5 linked regions of the Mus musculus genome follow. The protein of the gene in region 1 binds, or shares a complex with, the protein of each later gene. Links are inferred from orthologs where the notes say so. Each region holds a gene or a part of one and is shown in the gene's direction. Other genes may lie near its edges. The genes, in order: Pold2, Pold1, Rev3l, Pold3 and Pold4.

The links.
Region 2: Pold2 (region 1) and Pold1 share a complex: the UniProt entries of both Homo sapiens proteins name them as parts of the tetrameric DNA polymerase delta complex. The link is inferred for Mus musculus from reciprocal best matches to the Homo sapiens genes POLD2 and POLD1.
Region 3: Pold2 (region 1) and Rev3l share a complex: the UniProt entries of both Homo sapiens proteins name them as parts of the tetrameric Pol-zeta complex. The link is inferred for Mus musculus from reciprocal best matches to the Homo sapiens genes POLD2 and REV3L.
Region 4: Pold2 (region 1) and Pold3 share a complex: the UniProt entries of both Homo sapiens proteins name them as parts of the both the DNA polymerase delta and DNA polymerase zeta complex. The link is inferred for Mus musculus from reciprocal best matches to the Homo sapiens genes POLD2 and POLD3.
Region 5: Pold2 (region 1) and Pold4 share a complex: the UniProt entries of both Homo sapiens proteins name them as parts of the tetrameric DNA polymerase delta complex. The link is inferred for Mus musculus from reciprocal best matches to the Homo sapiens genes POLD2 and POLD4.

What each region holds. Positions count from the first base shown.
Region 1 is NC_000077.6:5,875,450-5,879,740, reverse strand, and holds the start of Pold2 (DNA polymerase delta subunit 2), read left to right. Parts: upstream 1-1,484; 5' UTR 1,485-1,549; intron 1,550-2,077; exon of another isoform or gene 2,078-2,161; intron 2,162-2,751; 5' UTR 2,752-2,808; coding exon 2,809-3,028; intron 3,029-4,291. UniProt on the Homo sapiens protein: Accessory component of both the DNA polymerase delta complex and the DNA polymerase zeta complex.
Region 2 is NC_000073.6:44,538,816-44,542,328, reverse strand, and holds part of Pold1 (DNA polymerase delta catalytic subunit), read left to right. Parts: intron 1-78; coding exon 79-225; intron 226-304; coding exon 305-430; intron 431-506; coding exon 507-675; intron 676-757; coding exon 758-839; intron 840-924; coding exon 925-1,054; intron 1,055-1,318; coding exon 1,319-1,485; intron 1,486-1,699; coding exon 1,700-1,804; intron 1,805-2,826; coding exon 2,827-2,967; intron 2,968-3,164; coding exon 3,165-3,275; intron 3,276-3,364; coding exon 3,365-3,513. UniProt on the Homo sapiens protein: As the catalytic component of the trimeric (Pol-delta3 complex) and tetrameric DNA polymerase delta complexes (Pol-delta4 complex), plays a crucial role in high fidelity genome replication, including in lagging strand synthesis, and repair.
Region 3 is NC_000076.6:39,829,656-39,833,168, forward strand, and holds part of Rev3l (DNA polymerase zeta catalytic subunit), read left to right. Parts: intron 1-1,243; coding exon 1,244-1,326; intron 1,327-2,862; coding exon 2,863-2,988; intron 2,989-3,513. UniProt on the Homo sapiens protein: Catalytic subunit of the DNA polymerase zeta complex, an error-prone polymerase specialized in translesion DNA synthesis (TLS). Lacks an intrinsic 3'-5' exonuclease activity and thus has no proofreading function.
Region 4 is NC_000073.6:100,118,688-100,122,905, reverse strand, and holds the start of Pold3 (DNA polymerase delta subunit 3), read left to right. Parts: upstream 1-1,405; 5' UTR 1,406-1,482; coding exon 1,483-1,542; intron 1,543-1,543; exon of another isoform or gene 1,544-3,009; intron 3,010-3,176; coding exon 3,177-3,232; intron 3,233-4,218. UniProt on the Homo sapiens protein: Accessory component of both the DNA polymerase delta complex and the DNA polymerase zeta complex.
Region 5 is NC_000085.6:4,230,496-4,234,134, forward strand, and holds Pold4 (DNA polymerase delta subunit 4), read left to right. Parts: upstream 1-1,397; 5' UTR 1,398-1,596; coding exon 1,597-1,693; intron 1,694-1,919; exon of another isoform or gene 1,920-1,967; coding exon 1,968-2,057; intron 2,058-2,252; coding exon 2,253-2,364; intron 2,365-2,718; coding exon 2,719-2,743; 3' UTR 2,744-3,139; downstream 3,140-3,639. UniProt on the Homo sapiens protein: As a component of the tetrameric DNA polymerase delta complex (Pol-delta4), plays a role in high fidelity genome replication and repair.

The sequences.
Region 1 (4,291 bases):
TAGTTCAGAAGGCAGAGTGTTTGCTTAGCCTGCATGAAGCCCCGGGGCTCACTCTCCAGCACTGCATAAAACTCAGGGTAGTGGCACGTGCCTGTAACCCCAGCACTCCAGAGGTGTAGACAGAAAGATCAGGAGTTTAAGGCCCTGTTGCTACACCATGGAATATATTAGACCCGTCTCAAGGAAAAAGTAGAAATAAAGATATTCTGGGATAAAATTTGATGAGTCCATTTCCTTAGACATTTACTGTAAGGAATCCTAAGGAGAGTCCTGCAGACCAAAGGGAACAGCAACCAAAGAGTAAATGGAGAGCTCCAGTCAAGGGGCTGCACAACAACGAGCTCTGTGTCATTGTAACTTTGGATTTTAATTCTACAAAGTGGTTTCAAATCCATCAAATGGGGTTTGTTCCTGGAACACAAGAACGTTGCAACATAATCAAATATGCAACAGGCTACTTGAGACAGTAGGCAAAAATCCGCACTCAGCCCAGCTTACAAAGGAAAAAATACTCAACAAACTGAAACATTAAAAACAAATGATTTAGCCGGGGGTGGGGGTGCACGCCTTTAATCCCAGCACTTGGGAGGCAGAGGCAGAGGCAGGTGGATTTCTGAGTCCGAGGCCAGTCTGGTCTACAAAGTGAGTTCCAGGACAGCCAGGGCTATACAGAGAAACCCTGTCTCGGGGGGAAAAAAATGATTTAATTCATTATTAAAACAGGAACGAGGGAAACCTTGTCTCAAAAAGCAAAAACAAACAAAAACAGAAACAAGGGGCTGGAGAAAGCTCGGTTGAGAGCTCTTTCAGAATGGCTCACAACCATTTGTAATTCCAGTTCCAGGTGACACGGACGCTCTCTTCTCGCCTCCGAGGAGACTGACCTCACATGCGTGCAGGCAAAACACACCCACACACAAAACAAAACAAAATAAATTCAAAATAAAACAAAAAAACTTAGTAAGCCAGAAGAAACCTACCTTAAGTAATAAGTTTCAGACTGAGTAATTAGGCAATTTTAAAAAGGAGCAATGTTACCACTGAAGTCTGATGCACTTGCAGTCAGGGTGTCTTAGTGTGAATTCTAGCTTTTCTCACTAGCTGGGTCATTTTGCCTGTTTCCCTGCCTGTGAGATGGGAGAAATTGTTCATGCTTCCAAGGGAATCTGAGAAGTCAGGGTGAGAATCACAGCGCAGGATAGAGTGGGAGGGAAGCTTCAGCCACACAGGAGCCACCAGACCCCCAGCGCTCGGGGAGAGCAGCATGAGCCAGGCGCCCAGCCTCACTACGGCCCACGCTACCCAAGGAGTTCACCCGATGAGGCCCAGCCGCAAACACCGCATGCGCACAGGAAACCCAGTGCTAAGTGATGGGTTGTCCCGGGAACCGGAGGCGTGACTCCGCGTTTCCTCGGTCCAGAGGCGGGGCGCACGGGGATTGGCTGGATGAAGCGTGCAGCGATGGGCGGGATGGGGCGGGAGGCGATTGGCTGGATGCGCCGATGGGCGGGACGGGCGCGCAGAGATTGGCGGGATGCGGCGTGGCGCGGTGAGTGTGCTGCTGAGCGGGGTTAACGTGGGTCCTGGGTCAGACTTGGCGGTACCTGGACAGCGGGCCGGGGTCTTGAGGGTGCTTCGAACTGTAACATGGGCCCGAGCTGGGCGTGTCTGCTTCGGGGCAGGTCTCCCGTCGGGTCCGGCCTGGAGCACCGTGTGGGCCGCTGCCACCACCGTGCGTTTTTGGCTTACATCCAGTTTACATGTGCCCATTTGGCAAATTCATAGGGTCCGCTCCCTAAGCCAGAGCTGCGCATTAAAGAAAGCCGAACCAGCTAGGGGAATTTGAACTTTGTAATAGCTGTACCAAAAAAAAAAAAAAAAAAGTAAAATGAAAAAGAAAGCTGTGTTCAAAACTTCCGTTACTACATCCAGCCTGTTGTCGTCTCAACTACGCATGAAGAATATGTTGAGATACTTTATACTAAAGTCCGCTGTGCATCCATCCCCAAGCACATCTTAGTGGGAAGGGGTGCAATACAAGAAAACAAACCTCTGCGCTGCCGGAGCTTAGGCAACAGTTGGAGGAGGCAAAGTAAATGCTTGAGAGATGATAATGATGCAGACAGTTGAAGTAGCAATGCAGTCAATTAGATATGGGAAGGTGAGTTTTAAGGAAAGACTTGAAAGGGAAGAGCCAGTAAGCCTTGGGGAAAAGGAGAGGACCCAGCAGGAGTAGAGAGGCCTCTACTTGGAGCCCCTGCTGTGGAAGGGACACTTGGAAGGAGAAACAGATAGGAGGGGGGAGCTGTTCTTAGAGGCCCAGAGCTGATCTTACAGGTCGTGGTAAGAACTTGGGGTTTTATTTACTGAAAAGCAACCTTTGGGGGGTTTTGAGCAAAACAGGGGCAGCTTTATGCTTTATTTTTTATCACTAATTATATTATGACAGGCTTCTTCAGTGATGCCTGATAGCATCCCTAGAGGTAGCAGAGGTCCCAGGGAGCTGGGCAGAAGCAGATCAATAATTCCATTTGAGGGTATGCAGAATTTGAGACCCTGGTGATTGGGTAGAAATGTGGAGAGGAGGAGGTGATGAACAAGGTTTGGAACGAGCTCCAGGTTGTATCTGACTAGGTTATAGGATGACACCTCCGGACACATGTGTGCACATTGTGGACAGCGTGGTTGGGACACTAGGGGAGCTTTGGGTACAAGAAGGGATTGCAGGAATGCCTTTGTGTGTCTCTGCAGTGATAACTCCTCGGCCTGGACACAGCTGCTTGGACCAAACAAGCCAGGAGTGCCGCCATGTTCTCCGAGCAGGCAGCACAGAGGGCCCACACTCTGCTCGCCCCGCCCTCTGCCAGCAATGCCACCTTTGCCCGGGTACCTGTGGCAACTTACACCAACTCCTCACAGCCCTTCCGACTGGGAGAGCGCAGCTTTAACCGGCAGTACGCCCATATTTATGCCACCCGCCTCATCCAGATGAGACCGTTCCTGGTGAGCCGGGCGCAGCAACACTGGGGTAAGTTTGGGGTACGCTGCTCCCAGCAGCCCAGCAGCTAGAACTAGGACCTTATCTAACCTGGAATACTTTCCAGCTACCATGGAATGGCCCCTTCAGCTCCCTGCTTCTTCTTAAAAGTGAGGATTAAATTAACCTGTGTGGTTAAAGTTGGGTTTGGCCCAGAGTCTGGTCAGAGGTAAGGGCTAGGTTCTGGCAGTGATGGCTACTGTTCCATCCATGGAGGAAATGGTCTTCCTATCCTTATTGTCTTCAGTGTGAATTGGTCACTGGTGTGCACCCTTTAGCTAGAGAGCTCCTCATAGCAGCAGGCTTGGCACCTTGGTCTTTGAGGGATGGACACACCCAGGCCATAGCAGAGCCACAGCAGGTGGGAGTGTGGAATCTGCAGTTTATGTTGGCATCCAATGCTTCTGTGTGGTGTTAGCCCTTTTCTTCTGTGGATGGAGCTCACGGTGGAGCTCTGAGGCATGCTCCTGGCTCTTCCAGGGCAGGACTGCGGTTCTGGCCCAGCCTCCACTTCGCCCTGCCTCCTCAGCAGTTTGTCCCAGGATTGGTCTGTGCTGATGAGTCCCTGGAACTCTCTGGAACTTGCTTTCCTTCTTCCTGCCCAGCGTGGCTTTCTACATCTTTCATGCTGGGCGTGTGGAGCCTTCACACGTGTTCTGGTTTTCCTCCTGGGGATGTTGAATGAACAAGGCTGCTAACTCCACAGAGAATAGAGTGGGCTGGGGTGGAGGGGACACAGAGGTGAAGGATCGGGCAGAGCAGGGGCTGGCATGAGAATCCAAAGTCTTAGCTAGGCCTTTAATCTTAGTACTGGGGAGGCAGAGGCAGGTGGATCCCCGTGAGTTCAAGGCCAGCCTGGTCTATGGAGTGAGCTCCAGGACAGCCAGAGTTATTTCATAAGACCCTGTCTGGAAAATAAAAGACTGCAGAGTCTTAAGGACATGGTAGTTGTCAGCACAGAGCATGTGACAGGCATGTAGGTAATATACTTCAGTTACTTCCCGTGTCCATGGTAACAAAGTACTGTATGTAAACAGGGGACTTAGGACAACACACATGTATTCTCCTATGGTTCTGGAGGTGTAAAGTCTGAAATCAAGTCAGCAGGGCTGATTTCTTGTAGAACAGTGCCTCTCAGCCTTCCTAATGCTGCGGCCCTTTAATGCAGTTCCTCATGTTGTGGTGACCCCCAACCATAAAGCTATTCTCATTACTGCTTCACGGCTGTGTTTTTTGTACTGTTTTGAATTGTAA
Region 2 (3,513 bases), on another chromosome or scaffold:
GGCGAGGCCCCGAGGCATCAGTGACATCCTTCAGTGTGGCCTCCGGTCCTGAGGGGTGTTCTCGGACCCCTCCCCTAGGCTCAGCACCACCCCTGCCAGAAGGGCCCCTGCCATCCCGGAACTCAGTGCCCATACTGAGGGCCTTTGGGGTCACCGATGAAGGCTTCTCCGTCTGCTGCCACATACAGGGCTTTGCCCCCTACTTCTACACCCCCGCGCCTCCTGGTGAGTGTTCCCTGACCTGAGGGCCTTGTTCCTGGACTCCAGAATTTCCTTTGCTCTTCTGACTGGCCTCCTACACCAGGTTTTGGGGCCGAGCACCTGAGTGAGCTGCAGCAGGAGCTGAACGCAGCCATCAGCCGGGACCAGCGCGGTGGGAAGGAGCTCTCAGGGCCGGCAGTGCTGGCAATAGAGCTATGCTCCCGTGAGAGTGAGTGTGGCCTGGGGGGGTGGGGGGTGGGGGTAGGGTGCCCTGGTAGGTGTGTGCCAACCTCCTTTCTCCGCAGGCATGTTTGGGTACCACGGTCATGGCCCTTCTCCATTTCTCCGCATCACCCTGGCACTACCCCGCCTTATGGCACCAGCCCGCCGCCTTCTGGAACAGGGTGTCCGAGTGCCAGGCCTGGGCACCCCGAGCTTCGCACCCTACGAAGCCAACGTGGACTTTGAGATCCGGTGCTGTCCTGTCTCCCCTTTGCCCTACTCCCGCCTCAGTCCCCTCAGGCGGCCCTTGCCAACTGACACGCCACTCTTCCAGGTTCATGGTGGATGCTGACATTGTGGGATGCAACTGGTTGGAGCTGCCAGCTGGAAAGTACGTTCGGAGGGCGGAGAAGAAGGTAAGAGCACCCCGGGGCGGGGTGGGGAGCCAGGACCTGGTGCCGATGTCGCTCCTACCTTGTGCAACCCGCTACCTTTCCCCAGGCCACCCTGTGTCAGCTGGAGGTGGACGTGCTGTGGTCAGATGTGATCAGTCACCCACCGGAGGGGCAGTGGCAGCGCATTGCACCCCTGCGTGTGCTTAGCTTCGACATCGAGTGTGCTGGCCGAAAAGGTTTGTCCCGGGAGCCTGGGCTCCTTCTCTCTGTCTGGGCATTGGTGATGTGCCAGGCCCCTGTGGAGGGGTGAGTGGGTGGAAGGAGTGCTCCCTACAGAGAGAGCCCTGAGCACAAAGGCACCAGGGCCTGGGGCTGTCCCACCCATGTGGCTGGAACAGGGGCTGGAGCTGAGAGGCTGTGGATGAGCAGGTGTGGGGACCGTGGATGGACCGGGACAGGGGACGAGCAGGAATGAGGTCCCTGTGTCTTCCCCTCTGCAGGCATCTTCCCTGAGCCTGAGCGTGACCCCGTGATCCAGATCTGTTCTCTGGGGCTGCGCTGGGGGGAGCCGGAGCCATTCTTGCGTCTGGCACTCACGCTGCGGCCCTGTGCCCCCATCCTGGGTGCCAAAGTGCAGAGCTATGAGCGGGAAGAAGACCTGCTCCAGGTGGGTCCTCCCTCCTCAGGTGCCACCTGCCCTGTGTCCCCAGCCATGCCAGTGACCCTTCTCTAGGACGACACCGTGTCCTCGGGGTTGGGCTGTGTGTTTTCCTGAGTTCCACGGCGTTTTTGCAAGTGCGGAGGTTGTCTTGGATATTCTGAAGAGAAGGTAGCTGAGGTAAAGACAGCCTGGTTGGCCTTTGTGTCCGTCCCCTCCACAGGCCTGGGCCGACTTCATCCTTGCCATGGACCCTGACGTGATCACCGGCTACAACATTCAGAACTTTGACCTCCCATACCTCATCTCTCGGGCACAGGCCCTAAAGGTGAGGGAAGCTGGATCTTTTCCCATCCCTCGAGGCCATCCTTGCCCCGGGCCAGCCGGCTGCTCTGGAGTCCAGGTGTGCGTTACCTCACTTTAGCTGGAGCCGGAAATTCGTCGCTGTGGACAGGAGGCGGGCGCCTTGAGAGTCCGGCCCTCCACACCATCACCGTCACTGCGTCACTGTCTCTGCCTCCATAGCCAGGCCTCCTTTAGAATTCACTGGCAAGGGGGAAGGGGAAACGGGGGCATGGAAGAGGAAAGGGGTACATGCTTTGGAGCGCGGCAAAGGCTGGGTGCTATGGAAAGGGAAGAGTGAGCCTTTTCACACTTCCACTGTAGCCAGCTGCACACTTACCCGGTGCAGGAGGCTGCAGAGGTGACCCTCTGGGTGTTAGTGAGCCTGAGGGCAGGCAGGCCCTCCCCTCCTGGGCCTGGTTCTAATGGCCTTCCTGGGCTGCATCTGCTTGGGCCTTTCTTCTGTGCCTCAGTCAAGTCTCCCTGCGTCCTTTTTCTAGGGCAAGCTCTGTTACAAGAGGGGTCCTGGGCGATGCACAGAGGGGAATCTGCCCGAACAGGATACACTGTATCACTTTCCTGCTTTCTGCAGCTGTAGCCCATTTGGTGATGAGTAGGCAGAGCCGACTTCACTGCCTGGCTGCAGGGAGACCCTACCATTGTGTCCTGGGCACCTCACCCTCAGCCCCTCTCCTCTAAGACTCCCTCTCTCTGCCAGACTGTACCCCAGCGCCGCCCCTGTTGTCTTCTCTGCCCTCCCCCAATAGTCCATGTCTCTACCTATAGCCCATCAGGCCCCCAGTCTCTCAGTCTCCCCGGGGCTATAGCTCTCAACTCTGTCCCTGATCAATACCTCGTCCCACCCAAGCAGTCTCCGCCTGCAGCTCATCTTCTCCAGACCCAGGAGTGCCATGGCTGGTCTCTGTCCCTGTTCTGAGGGCCTAAGGCTAGATTCAGAGTTGAGCTGACAGGTCTGCACCACAGCAAGGCTCTCCCCATGCTCCTCAGGTGGACCGCTTCCCTTTCCTGGGCCGCGTGACTGGTCTCCGCTCCAACATCCGTGACTCCTCCTTCCAATCAAGGCAGGTCGGCCGGCGGGACAGTAAGGTGATCAGCATGGTGGGTCGCGTTCAGATGGATATGCTGCAGGTATGTAGGAACCCCACTCGCCCTCCCCAGCCCCCAACACGCTGCCTTAAACAGAAGCTCCACCCACCTGAGGCGGCACCCTGACCCACCCACCTAAGTACCACAGACCCTCTAGACCCCATCCCACGACTCTTGAGGTTGCGTGGAGATACCCTTCCCCACACCTCTGAGGCCCCGCCCCACCCCAACCTGCGCAGGTGCTGCTTCGGGAACACAAGCTCCGCTCCTACACGCTCAACGCTGTGAGTTTCCACTTCCTGGGCGAGCAGAAGGAGGACGTTCAGCACAGCATCATCACCGACCTGCAGGTGCCGCCACTCCACCAAGTCCCTCCCCGCCTCCCTCCTGGCTGAGCCCCTGACTGACTGAGCCCCTGACCCCACATGCCCATCCCCAGAATGGGAACGAACAGACGCGCCGCCGCCTGGCCGTGTACTGCCTGAAGGACGCCTTTCTGCCACTCCGACTACTAGAGCGCCTTATGGTGCTGGTGAATAATGTGGAGATGGCGCGTGTCACGGGTGTACCCCTTGGGTACCTGCTCAC
Region 3 (3,513 bases), on another chromosome or scaffold:
CTCTCTGTCTCTCTCTCTCTCTCTGTCTCTGTCTCTCTCTCTCAGTGAATAGTACTATGACCCCGTCAGTCACCAGAGTCAGACACAATATATATGTAGCACCACCTGATTGTCTTGGTAAGCACCTTGATTTTCAATCCATTACCAAGTTCTTTCATTTTATCTCTGCCACCACAACCTTATGTGGCTTATTATCATCTCTGGCCTAAGTGTCTACAGGCCTTCTTAGACACTCTCGGTGCATGGCAATCAGAAGAAATAATTTATGTGTACCTACTACACATATTTCAGTTCAAAGACACCAAGCTTTAATTAGATAGATATAAATTCTCAATTAGTTCCTCCCTCACTCAGAATTTGGTTTGTAGGAAATTCAGTTGCATACAGACAACTGCAGTCCAAAAATACTCTTATAATACTCTGTAAGTACATGATCCATAAGTTTTAAGTCATGTGCTATTTTGAATATCATGAAATATGAACCATCTCTTTGTCTGATGTATGCATTCTATCCATGATACCCTTTTTCATCATTTAGTAGTTGTCTCAGTACTCCATCCAACTGTTGTGGGATTGGAGCACTCATGTTCAAATAGCCTTTATTTTACTTCATGGCTCTGGAGCATAGAAGTAATGGTGCTGACCATTTATAGATTCATAGATGCCAAGGGGAACAGGAAAACACAGTCTTTTTGAAACAGTGGGGAAAATAAGAATGTTTGAGAAAGAGCTAACATGCATGTAACTTATTAGAGTATATTATAATTCTGTTTTATTACTGGGTTTGTTAATCTTACTGGGCCTAGTTTATGAATTAAAAGCTATTATTATGGGGGTAGGTAGGTAGAGCAAAACAGTGTAAACAGAAGCCAGAGGTTCCAGAACAATCAGCACAGATAAGGGAAACTGTTGTCATTTCACTTCCATATACAATTCTTTCTAGAATACAAAAGAAACTATGTCACTCCCTCCTCATCAGAAACACATGATAAATGAGTGAATTAGCCCCAAGAGTAATGACTAAGTTTTCTAGCTCAGTAGTAAAACATAAATGTGCTTATTTTAAAATGTAGAAGTATGAAGTATTTTGTAGAAATTGGAGGTTTTAATTTCATTTTAAAATTATGAAATCTGAAAAAATGCATATAGCAGTATTCACAAATGATATTTGATTGAAACAACAAAATTTGCTTTAAGAAAGAGAAGCAGATGTACAAGTTAAAAATGAAATTTCTTTCTACAGAACCAAAAACCCAGAAGTTGTATAATAAGAAAGGAAGTGATGCTGATGGTCTCAGGAGAGTTCTCCTGACAACGCAAGTGGAGGTAACTGTGCCAGACACCTACAGCTCAGTGCAAGGCCAAGTCTGCGCTTCAGAGCTCTCTGTGTACTAACTTAATGTGTATTATTTTTGCCATCATTATTTACACATCTTTGAGAAAAATCTAGTTTTTTATTGTTGGGATAGAAAAGATTCTTATGTGTAAATGCAAATATTCCAGAGACAGTGACTATGACAGCCAGAATGTAGGTTATGCCGATACATATACATTAGCTGGTAACAGCATCAGAGCATCTTATCACAGCAGAGCTTAAGGAATGGTTCAGTTGCTTGAGTTGGTGTTCTGTTGTTTGGTTTTGTTTTGTTTTGTTTTTGAAACAGGATTTCTCTGTGTAATAGAGCCCCAGCTGTCCTGGAACTCATTCTGTAGACCAGGCTAGCCTCAAACGAGCAGAGATTCACCTGCCTCCGTCTCCCAAGTACTGGGATTAAAGGCGTGTACGCCCACCACCTGACTAAATAAGTGATTTTTTTTTTTAAATCTCAACAAAAATATATTTTTTTCTTTGGGTTTTTTCCCAAATATTACTTAATTTTTAATTTTCTTCACCAAGTTACAAAAGAAAGCAGCATTATGTATTATTGAAGTTGAGGAATTATAACTGTCCTTATTCAAATACTAAAGATATGATAGTTCTTAATTGAGAAGTATGAAAGCAGTAGTCAGGTAGAACTTCTATACATATTAGACATTATCTTTGGAAATAAATGACAGAAACCACTTCCATATTATCTACTACTCAGAAAGGTCATTACATATAAGATGTATTTTTATACTGAGGCTATACTACAAACTTTGATTTATAAAGGTTTTGAATTATAACCTATTGATATTAAAAACAAGTAGCAGTGCATTGTAAACATAAGTCAACATGTTACATAAAATGGTTAATCTACTTAAATAGCATAAGAGGTATTTTAAGAACAGAGAGAGCTGGATATGGTTGGTCACACATGTAATCCCAGCATTGGGGAGTCTGAGACAGGGATCACCATGAGTACTAGGCCAATCTGGGCAGTAGCATGAGACATGGCTAACAAAAGAGGGGGGGGGCAGCAAGAAAAGAAGAAAATTGTAAAAGAAATAGGAAGTGTCTATTCTAAATGCTTGAAAGCTTTTCTCCAATATGTGTAGAGTGGGGTAAGGTGCACCATTTGCAAATGTTAGCCAAGCAGTTGTAAATGTTAAATACTTGATGTTCTTTCAAGAAAGGTCAAGGTCCATATCCATGTAGTGATGTAGTGTAAATGATATAAGTATATGTGAGCTCTGCCTGACCACTGCTTTCAGGATTGGGGCTTGTCAATCAGGGTTTGTTTATAGATTGCATCCTATTCTACAGTTACTAAAATAAAATGAATGTTAATAAACTTTTTCTTAAACTTAAAGAGAATCTTTATGTTTATCATGTTCATTATTTATTACTAAGTACATAAAATGTTTAAGCAAGAATAATCCAAAGAAAGAATGGTTGCTTATGCCCTTTCTGAATGTGCCTTTTTTTTTTTTTTTAAATAGAATCAGTTTGCGGCAGTAAATACTCCAAAGAAAGAAACTTCTCAGATTGATGGACCGTCCTTAAACAATACCTACGGTTTCAAAGTCAGCATACAGAACTTACAGGAGGCAAAGGCTTTACACGAGGTAAAACTGCAGCTTTAAGGCTGCACACACTATGCTTAGTTAGCAGGATTTGTCCATAGGACAAGGATGGAAATGTTTAACCAGAAAGGGATATATTAAATTCTCTTTGTTGATCTCCATCTTGCTATTCTACTGTACTTGTGTAAAACAGAAAAAAGTAAATATTGACCAGTTACTGAGATTGATTTATATTCTCACATTTTTGCAAAATTAATAACTAAAATTTAGTTTATAGAAATTAAATTAGAAAATATTTTGAAATTTTAGAATTATGTATACAAGTCTTCTCTTTACCCTTAATACATGTTCATTCTTCCTAATTAAATTGGTTGTTTTGTTTTACTTGGCTATAGGACAGAGGTTTTTCCCTTAAAGTTTTTGTGTTTACTAAGTTAAATGTGTGCTAATTATTAACAATAAAACCTATAGGATATAAGTTTCTAAGAAAACATTCTGGGGCATGGGGATGCTTAGAAGATGGCTCAGTCACTGAGATGCTTGCTGCTTCAGATCCTAGCGCCCACC
Region 4 (4,218 bases), on another chromosome or scaffold:
TTCATTGTAACCAAACTTCAAGCAAAATTCATTTGCTGAGAGTCTATTACACGTGGGTGTTCTGACATTATGAATACAGTAAGTTTGAATTTTTATTTATTAATTATTTTGTGCATATACATGGGCCTGCATGTACCATGGTGTGTGGAGACCAAAGGATGACTCCAAGGAATCAGTTCTCTCCTGCCATCTTTATGTGGCTCCCTGGGACTGAACTCAGGTCATCAGGTCTGTGCTGCAAGCACTTTACCCACTGAGCTATCTCATTGGCCCCAAGATCATACTTAAAATAGTTTTTGTTTACACAAACCCTGTCTCAAAGTCCTTGCAGTTGTTTCCTAGTCACTCTTCCCATGAACAACATGAAGGTGGTTTGAAATGATGGGACCTCATCTTTTGTATGTGTGTGTGTGTATAAAGGGATAATAAAATCTAACAAGACTACTTGAGGATTAGGGTCACTGCTAGAGATGCCCACCACATGCTAGTTACTCAGTAAGTAAGTAATTGTGATATATCTGGGGAATATACATGAAACTAAAAGACTTTCTTCATCTCTTAATTCGTGGGAGGGAAAATTCCAAGGGATACTCTTCTCTGATTTGTTTTTGACCCTAAAACCTTTCAGTGTATTTGTAGACACAACTGTAATCTCTTTGACATGATCTTGGGTTTATTTACAGGCATCTGTTATGATTCTCTATGAAAACCACACAATGCATTTGCTGGGTTTCTATGAGACTAAATGAAATTTCATTTTCAAAGCACTTGCTCAATATGTTTGTCGTGTAACAACACAGTTACCAGCTATTATTAGTGTGATCGTGGTGAGCACAGCTTGAAGGTTTTATGTGTATCGTCTCACTTATAACTCCAGCCAAATAGAATGATTTGATTTCTCGTCTGCTCTTTTCCCCAGTCTTTTCACATCTTCCGGGAAACTCCTGGTTGACCCAAAGATCATGTCCCTAATCTAGTGACTCTTACTTGGTAGCTCTGGCTAGGTTGGAGCTCCATGGGTAGAACAGGGTGGTCTTCAGCTCACAAAGATCTGCTTGCTTTTGCACCACCACGCCTGACACCAACTCTTTTAAGCCACCCCTCCTCCCCCTCTTCCCCCTCCTCCCTCTCCTTTACAATGTAGGCTCCATGTGTACTCTTGGCCACAGCACTCCCCCGCCCCCAGCGGTGAAATATAAGGTTATGAGTCAGTCTACTTGTGGTAGCAGAGAAATCGCAACGTTCTCAGGTGCACACCGACAACCACGGGCTCGCGCCTCACTTCCGGTCGGTCTCGCTCCAACTTCCCCCTACATCAGCCCTGGCTGGCCTCTCACTAGTTTGGCCCTCACCCGCCGCCGTAGCGCGGCGCCTTGGTTGCCCTGGGAGACGACCTGTGACCCGAGAGTGAGCGAAGCTGTTTCCCGCCGGCGGGAGCTACGGCTGGGGCGGGTTGAGCGCGGGGCTCGAAGCCGCACCACCATGGCGGAACAGCTGTATCTAGAAAACATAGACGAGTTCGTCACGGACCAGAACAAGATCGTGAGGAGCTAGGACCACGGGGGTGGGGAAGGCGGGGCCGTGCGAGGCGGGTGTGCGGGGGACTGGGCCTGCCCGGTCGGCGAGGGGTCGCGACCCCCGGTGCCTGTGGCTTCTCGGGGACCGGCTGAGGTGGCCACTGGTCACCGCGAAACCCGCGTAGGGAGACACGCCCTGCGGGCAGAGCTTCTGGCGCGCGCCCAAGCCCCGGGGCCTTGGGCGGGATTGTGAGGTCCGGGGGCGTGGAGCCTGGGAAGCCAGCGGGGTTCGTGAGGCTTCCTTTCCCTGCTCTGTCGGGTGGTGGCCCCTCAAGACAGTTGAGACTGGCCGACTTTCATAGGCGACTGCCTGGTGCTTTACCCACCAGAGACAGTTTCCTCTTCCTGGAAATTTAAATATTGAAAGCAGCTTGACCCACCTCCTCGGGCTAGCGTAAAAATGAAGAGACTTGGGTGTGATGGACCTTTGCTGCTGTGAGCCCATGGACACAGTTTGGTACACCGACTCACACCTCCCGGGTCCTCCAGGCTTTTGTGTTATCCCTAGAAGTGGGATTTAGCCAAGGGTCAAATGACGTGTATAAACGCGTCAAGGGCCATTAGGGCTGGATAGATAAATTCTTGAATCCCAGGTCTGTCTCTTTCCCCTCTGCCTCTGTCTGCCACTCTGCCTCTGACCAATCTTTATTAGTCCTCTTATTGGGAGTGCATCGTTTAGCTTTGGAAGAAACAACAGACATACCGGGTCAGGGAAGGATGGAGGCTCGATGCCCCTAGTTCTTGAAATTACCCCATACTACATTTATCCATTTTTCTCTCTCTCTTTTTTTTTTTTTTTGATTCCCACACCACCTGTTCCTCTTAACATTTGAATAGTTGCAAATTTACTGAGAAGTTCCTGGGTTATGTGCTTTCAAGTAATGCTAGGTTTTAGATAAATTTTAGGATAGTTTTAGGTAGCTTCTTAAAGACAAGAGGGTCAGAGAGCTTTTAAGTAAGACAAGGAGTTTGAGCTAAATAATCTTTGGCTTGGCTTTGTAGACTCTTAAGACTTTTCTTATTATGTTTAGTGTCATGCGCGTGCGCGCGCGCACACACACACACACACACATAATTGTGCTATGTCACAATTATGGATGTCAGAGGACCAGTTCTCTCATTCCACCGTACGAATCCAACAAATCAAACCCAGGCTCTTTTTGTTTGTTTGTTTTTCGAGACATGGTTTCTCTGTATAACCTTGGCTGTCCTGGGAACTCACTCTGTAGACCAGGCTGGCCTTGAACTCAGAAATCCTCCTGCCTCAGCCTCCTAAATGCTGGGATTAAAGGCGTGTGCCACCACCGCCCGGCCAAACCCAGGTTCTTAAGGGTGTGGTAGCAAGTGCCTTTCCCCACTGCCCATCTCTCTGACCCACCTTTGTAGATTCTTTTGCATTGATCAGTCTGTGAAGCATCTTAGTGTTTGTAAGGTAAGTACCCTGGCCTTACTTGTCATATGGTTTTTTTCTTGTTGGTATCTGCTGTAGTTTACAGGACACAGCCATCCGAGAATAAGAGTCCCTAGGAACAGGCTCTTGGCACTTATCTGTACTCTGGAATCAGCTAATAAAACCTTAAAAATTGTTTTTTGTTTCAGGTGACTTACAAGTGGCTAAGCTATACACTAGGGGTTCATGTTAACCAGGCCAAACAGTAAGTTCATTTGACTGCTAATTTTAATAATATTGGAATTTTTCTTTCACTTTGTTTTTATTTATTATTTTCAGCATCATCTTTTTATTGTTTATTTGGAATTTTCACATCATGCACCCCACTCACACTCATTTCCCAGTCCTTCCAGGTCCAACACACACACAAATGAGTCCAATCTGAGTTGCCTGTATAGTCATGGGACATGGTCAGACTCCCAGTGGCCAGCCCCTTAAAGAAAACGTTCACTTTGTTTTAATTCTCATAGAACTAACTCTTAGGTTAGAACTGACTTTCTACCTGGGTCAATAGGAAAGAATATTACTTTCTCTGCCTTTTGACTACTTTTGTCTGTCTTTTGAACTGTGTGTGTTCATGTATGTAAATGTGTATGCACACAGGCTACAGGGCACAGGGCAAGGTCAGAGGACCGTCTTGGTTTCATTCCTGCCTTTCTGACCGGTTTGAGGTGGGGGTCTCTTGTTATTCTCTGCTGTGTACAGCACACTGGTTGGCCTGCAAGCTTCTGAGGATACTTTGGTCTCTGCCTCCCTCTCCCCACAGGAGATCTGGAAATACAGGAATATGCTACTTACCCAGCTTTGCTTGCTTGGGTTCTGGGGATCCGACCTCCGGTCCTCATGCTTGCTGGTGGGCCTTTGACCCAGTGAGTTTTTCCCCAGCCCTGTTTTTCCCGTAGATCAGTGGACTCGTATGCAAATGTGTTGTGATAGTTTGCAGCCAATTTTGTAGTGATTTGAATGAGAATGAGTCCCCCTAGATATTTGACCTCTTGGTCCCCAGTTGGTGGCACCTTCCTGGGAGGTTTAGCAGGTGCAGCCTTGCTGGAGGCACTGGAGGTGCTGGAGGCAGGCTTGGTTGTTTATGGCCTTCCTCCACTTCATGGTTACTTTCTCTGATTTATTGCTTGTGCTTGCATTTGAAGATGGGAGCTCTCAGCTTCCTACTCAGCTACTCTTGCCTGACAC
Region 5 (3,639 bases), on another chromosome or scaffold:
TCCTTGCACCCCTGGAAGGAAGAACCGGATGGGCTCTCCAGAGGGTGATTAGTGCTGGGTCAGTCCAAGTGCTGGTTCCCAGACTCCCACGGGCCAGCATTTTCACCCGCTGCCAGGAAGTTGGTGAGGGGGAGGTGGTAGTAGGGGTGAGTCAGTGATGACAGGAGCCCCAAAACAAAGGTCATGGGTAGAGAATTGAGAGACGCTGTTTACAGCAATTACCTCCTGAGGTCTTCTCCCAATGCCTACCATTCTCCTCCAGCTCTAAGGCATTCGTGCTCCTGCTCTCCTGTCCAGGACTAACGACTGTGTATGTCCCTCTCTCTACCGCGCAAGCCTGGGAGCTTCTGCCGCACACGGGAAGCTAGTTAGTTACACAGTAGCTGTTACTAAGAGCACTTCTGCAGCACACGGGAAGCTAGTTAGTTACACAGTAGCTGTTACTAAGAGCACTTCTGCAGCACACGGGAAGCTAGTTAGTTACACAGTAGCTGTTACTAAGAGCACTTCTGCAGCACACGGGAAGCTAGTTAGTTACACAGTAGCTGTTACTAAGAGCACTGATCACAATTTGCCTACACTTCCCACTTGCAAAAAAACTCTTTTGATATCTATTTTGAGTTAGCATGTGGGAGATGCTTAGAACTCGGCACATGGAAAGTCCAATATGAGGGTTGGGTTTATTGAAATTATTTTCTGCTCATGATACACATTCAGAAAAAAACAAAAACAAAAAAACAGAGCAGATCTGTCAGTTAAGAACTGGGGATATGAACCCATGGAGAATGGAGACTATACTTCTGGCGTCCTGCTTGGAATGGAATCTTCCTGACTAGCAAAGTGGACAGAGGCAGGCTGTGGGACTTGACAGCGGCCACAGCAACCGCATGCCTGGGCTGGGTGGACAGTGGCTCTGCCAGCAGACTGTGAGAAAGGAGCCTTCTGAGCTCATGAGTTTCTCCAGCAAGGTCTCCTGGGGCCAGTAAGAGCAGCAGGGAAGGACCTGGACTAGTCCAAACTCTCTTTGGACCTACAGATCTGATCCCACAGCGCTCTAGGGCCAACCGGCAGGAGAAAAAGGTTCTCAGGGGACTTAAAAACTGGCCATGGGGATTAGTGAGGCTGAAAAGAACATTTGCCTAGGAAGGAAAAACGGGAAGTGAGAGGCCGAGGATAACTCTCTATATGTCCCAAGGGACCCAAGTGGACCAATGAGAAACCCGAGGAGGTGGTGAAGTCTGGGGCATCTTGACAGGTTCTTGGTTCCGCCTAACCCCTCCTCACTCGAAACGCAGCAGCAGCTACCCCGCCCCCCGTCTTCTGCCGATTGCCATTGGCTAGAATTAAGGTCCCGCCCCGCAAAGGCCGTTTGCCATTTGCTTAGGTCTCTGATGTTTGCGTGCTTGTGGGGGCGGAAGACAGGCGTCATTCCCTGGAACCTAGGGACTTCCTCTCTCTGCTTGTCTGGGTCAACTTGTCTGTCCATTGCTGGCCCATCTCTCTCTGGCCCCCTCTCTCACTCTCAGCAGCTGTCTCTCACAGGCCCGCTGCCCTGCCTTTTCTTTGCCTCCTGCTCCGCCTGCCTGGGTGGCCGCCATGGGTCGGAAGCGGTTCATCACTGACTCCTATCCTGTTGTGAAGAAGAGGGAGGGGCCCCCTGGGCACAGCAAGGGAGAGCTGGCACCCGAGCTAGGTCTCTAAAATGTGGGGGTGGCAGGAAGAGTGGACATGAAGTGACCAGAAAGGACTCTGTGTGTGTGTGTGTGTGTGTGTGTGTGTGTGTGTGTGTGTGTGTGTGTTGGCTAAAAAGGGAAGCTAGCATGTCTCGCACTTCCGATGAGCTGTCTGTCTGCTGGATGGCAAAGGCAAATGGGTGGGGAGATTGCCAGGATATAGAGTCACAGCTCTAAGTCCAGGGTAGGGCAAAGGCCTGGATGTGCCTGAGGAGCCACCACATGTTATTGCAGGGGAAGACACCCAGTCCCTCAGCCAGGAGGAAACAGAGCTGGAGCTGCTGAGGCAGTTTGACCTGGCCTGGCAGTATGGGCCTTGTACAGGTGAGCACCCCATTTCCAGTCCCTCCCATCAGGCACATCTCTGAATCAGTTCTGTTATCAATGTGTCTCAAAAGTAATCCTGCCTAGCTCTTGGACACTGTCTCCTGAAACTGACTATGGAGGCTCAAGAAACTGCCGTCCATGTCCACTATCCTGGATTCTCCTGCCTATCCTGTCTTCTTTTCCTGATGGCAGGTATCACAAGGCTGCAGCGCTGGAGTCGGGCAGAGCAGATGGGCTTGAAGCCCCCCCTAGAGGTGTACCAAGTGTTGAAGGCACACCCTGAAGACCCTCACTTCCAATGCAGGTCAGGATAGGCTGGGACAGCTTTCAGGGGAACCAGGGACTTCTCCAGGAGCTGCCACCCTCTTGGTCTACGTAGGGGCTACCTTGACTTGGAGAAGTGGGAACAGACTTAGACGGTCCTTCCTGTCAAGCAAGAAGAGTCTGGCTCGAGATAGATCTCGATAATGATCCTTACCTCTATGAGCTGATGGTGGGGGACGGGTATATCTAGGGCCCATGGAGCTATCCATGAGTCCTGAGGTGTTCACCAGAGCCACAGGATTGTAGGCAGTAAGTAAGTAAGAACTAGAGACAGTCCATCAAGGAACAGAACTGATGTGGCTATGACTTCCTTCTCCCACCCTGTCTTCCACAGCCTGTGGCATCTCTACCCACTCTGAGGTACCCCCACGTTGTCCTTCTCTGGGCACCTCCTAGCCACCAAGAACTTCAGGACAGACATCATGGCCTGCTCTGCTCATTCCAACCTTGGAGAAACAGCAGGCTGACTGTGGAGGTCTTCCTGGTTCAGCTTCTTCTCCATCTAAACAGCAGGCTGCTGAAGCTCCTGGGACCTGTGAAGCTGAGCACCTCCACGCCCTAATCATGACCACCAGATGCCCACCCGCCACACCCCTGACCTACGGTGTGGCAAATCCAGCACAGGCTGGCATAAACCAGATGTCGGCAGATAACCTAAAGGGCCCACCTTGGGCATCTAGCTGAGGGCACAGATGAGTGAGTTATTGGATCAAGGAGCTCACTAATGCTTACAATAAAGTACATTAAGCCTGAGATTCTGACCTTACATCTCTTAATATGCTCTAATCTAGCCGGCAGTTCCCAAACTGTAAGTGGGCTGGAGAGCCAGCTACAGGCTTTTTTTTTTTTTTTTTTTTTTTTTTTTTCTTTACTTAGGCTGGCTACAAACTCAGAAATTTGCCTGCCTCTGCTTCCTGAATGCTGAGATTAAAGGGTCCCAATATGGGGCGGGGGACAGTGCTGTGACTGGGATGTAAAGTGATTAATTAATTAACTAATTAATTAATGGGGAAAAGGTTTCACTATGTAGTTCTGTTTGTCCTAGAACTCATTATATAGACCAGGCTGGCTTCTAACTCACAGAAATCTACTTGCCTCTGTCTCCCAAGTGCTGGGGTTAAAGGCTTGTGTTTCTATACCACAAGGCTTCCATATCTATTTTTCTAAGGCAGTCTTTTCAAAAGCTGAGTGGCCTCTGGTATTCCCTGGTAGAAACTCACTCTAAGTTTCCTTCCCTGACCAGCCAGCAGAAAAT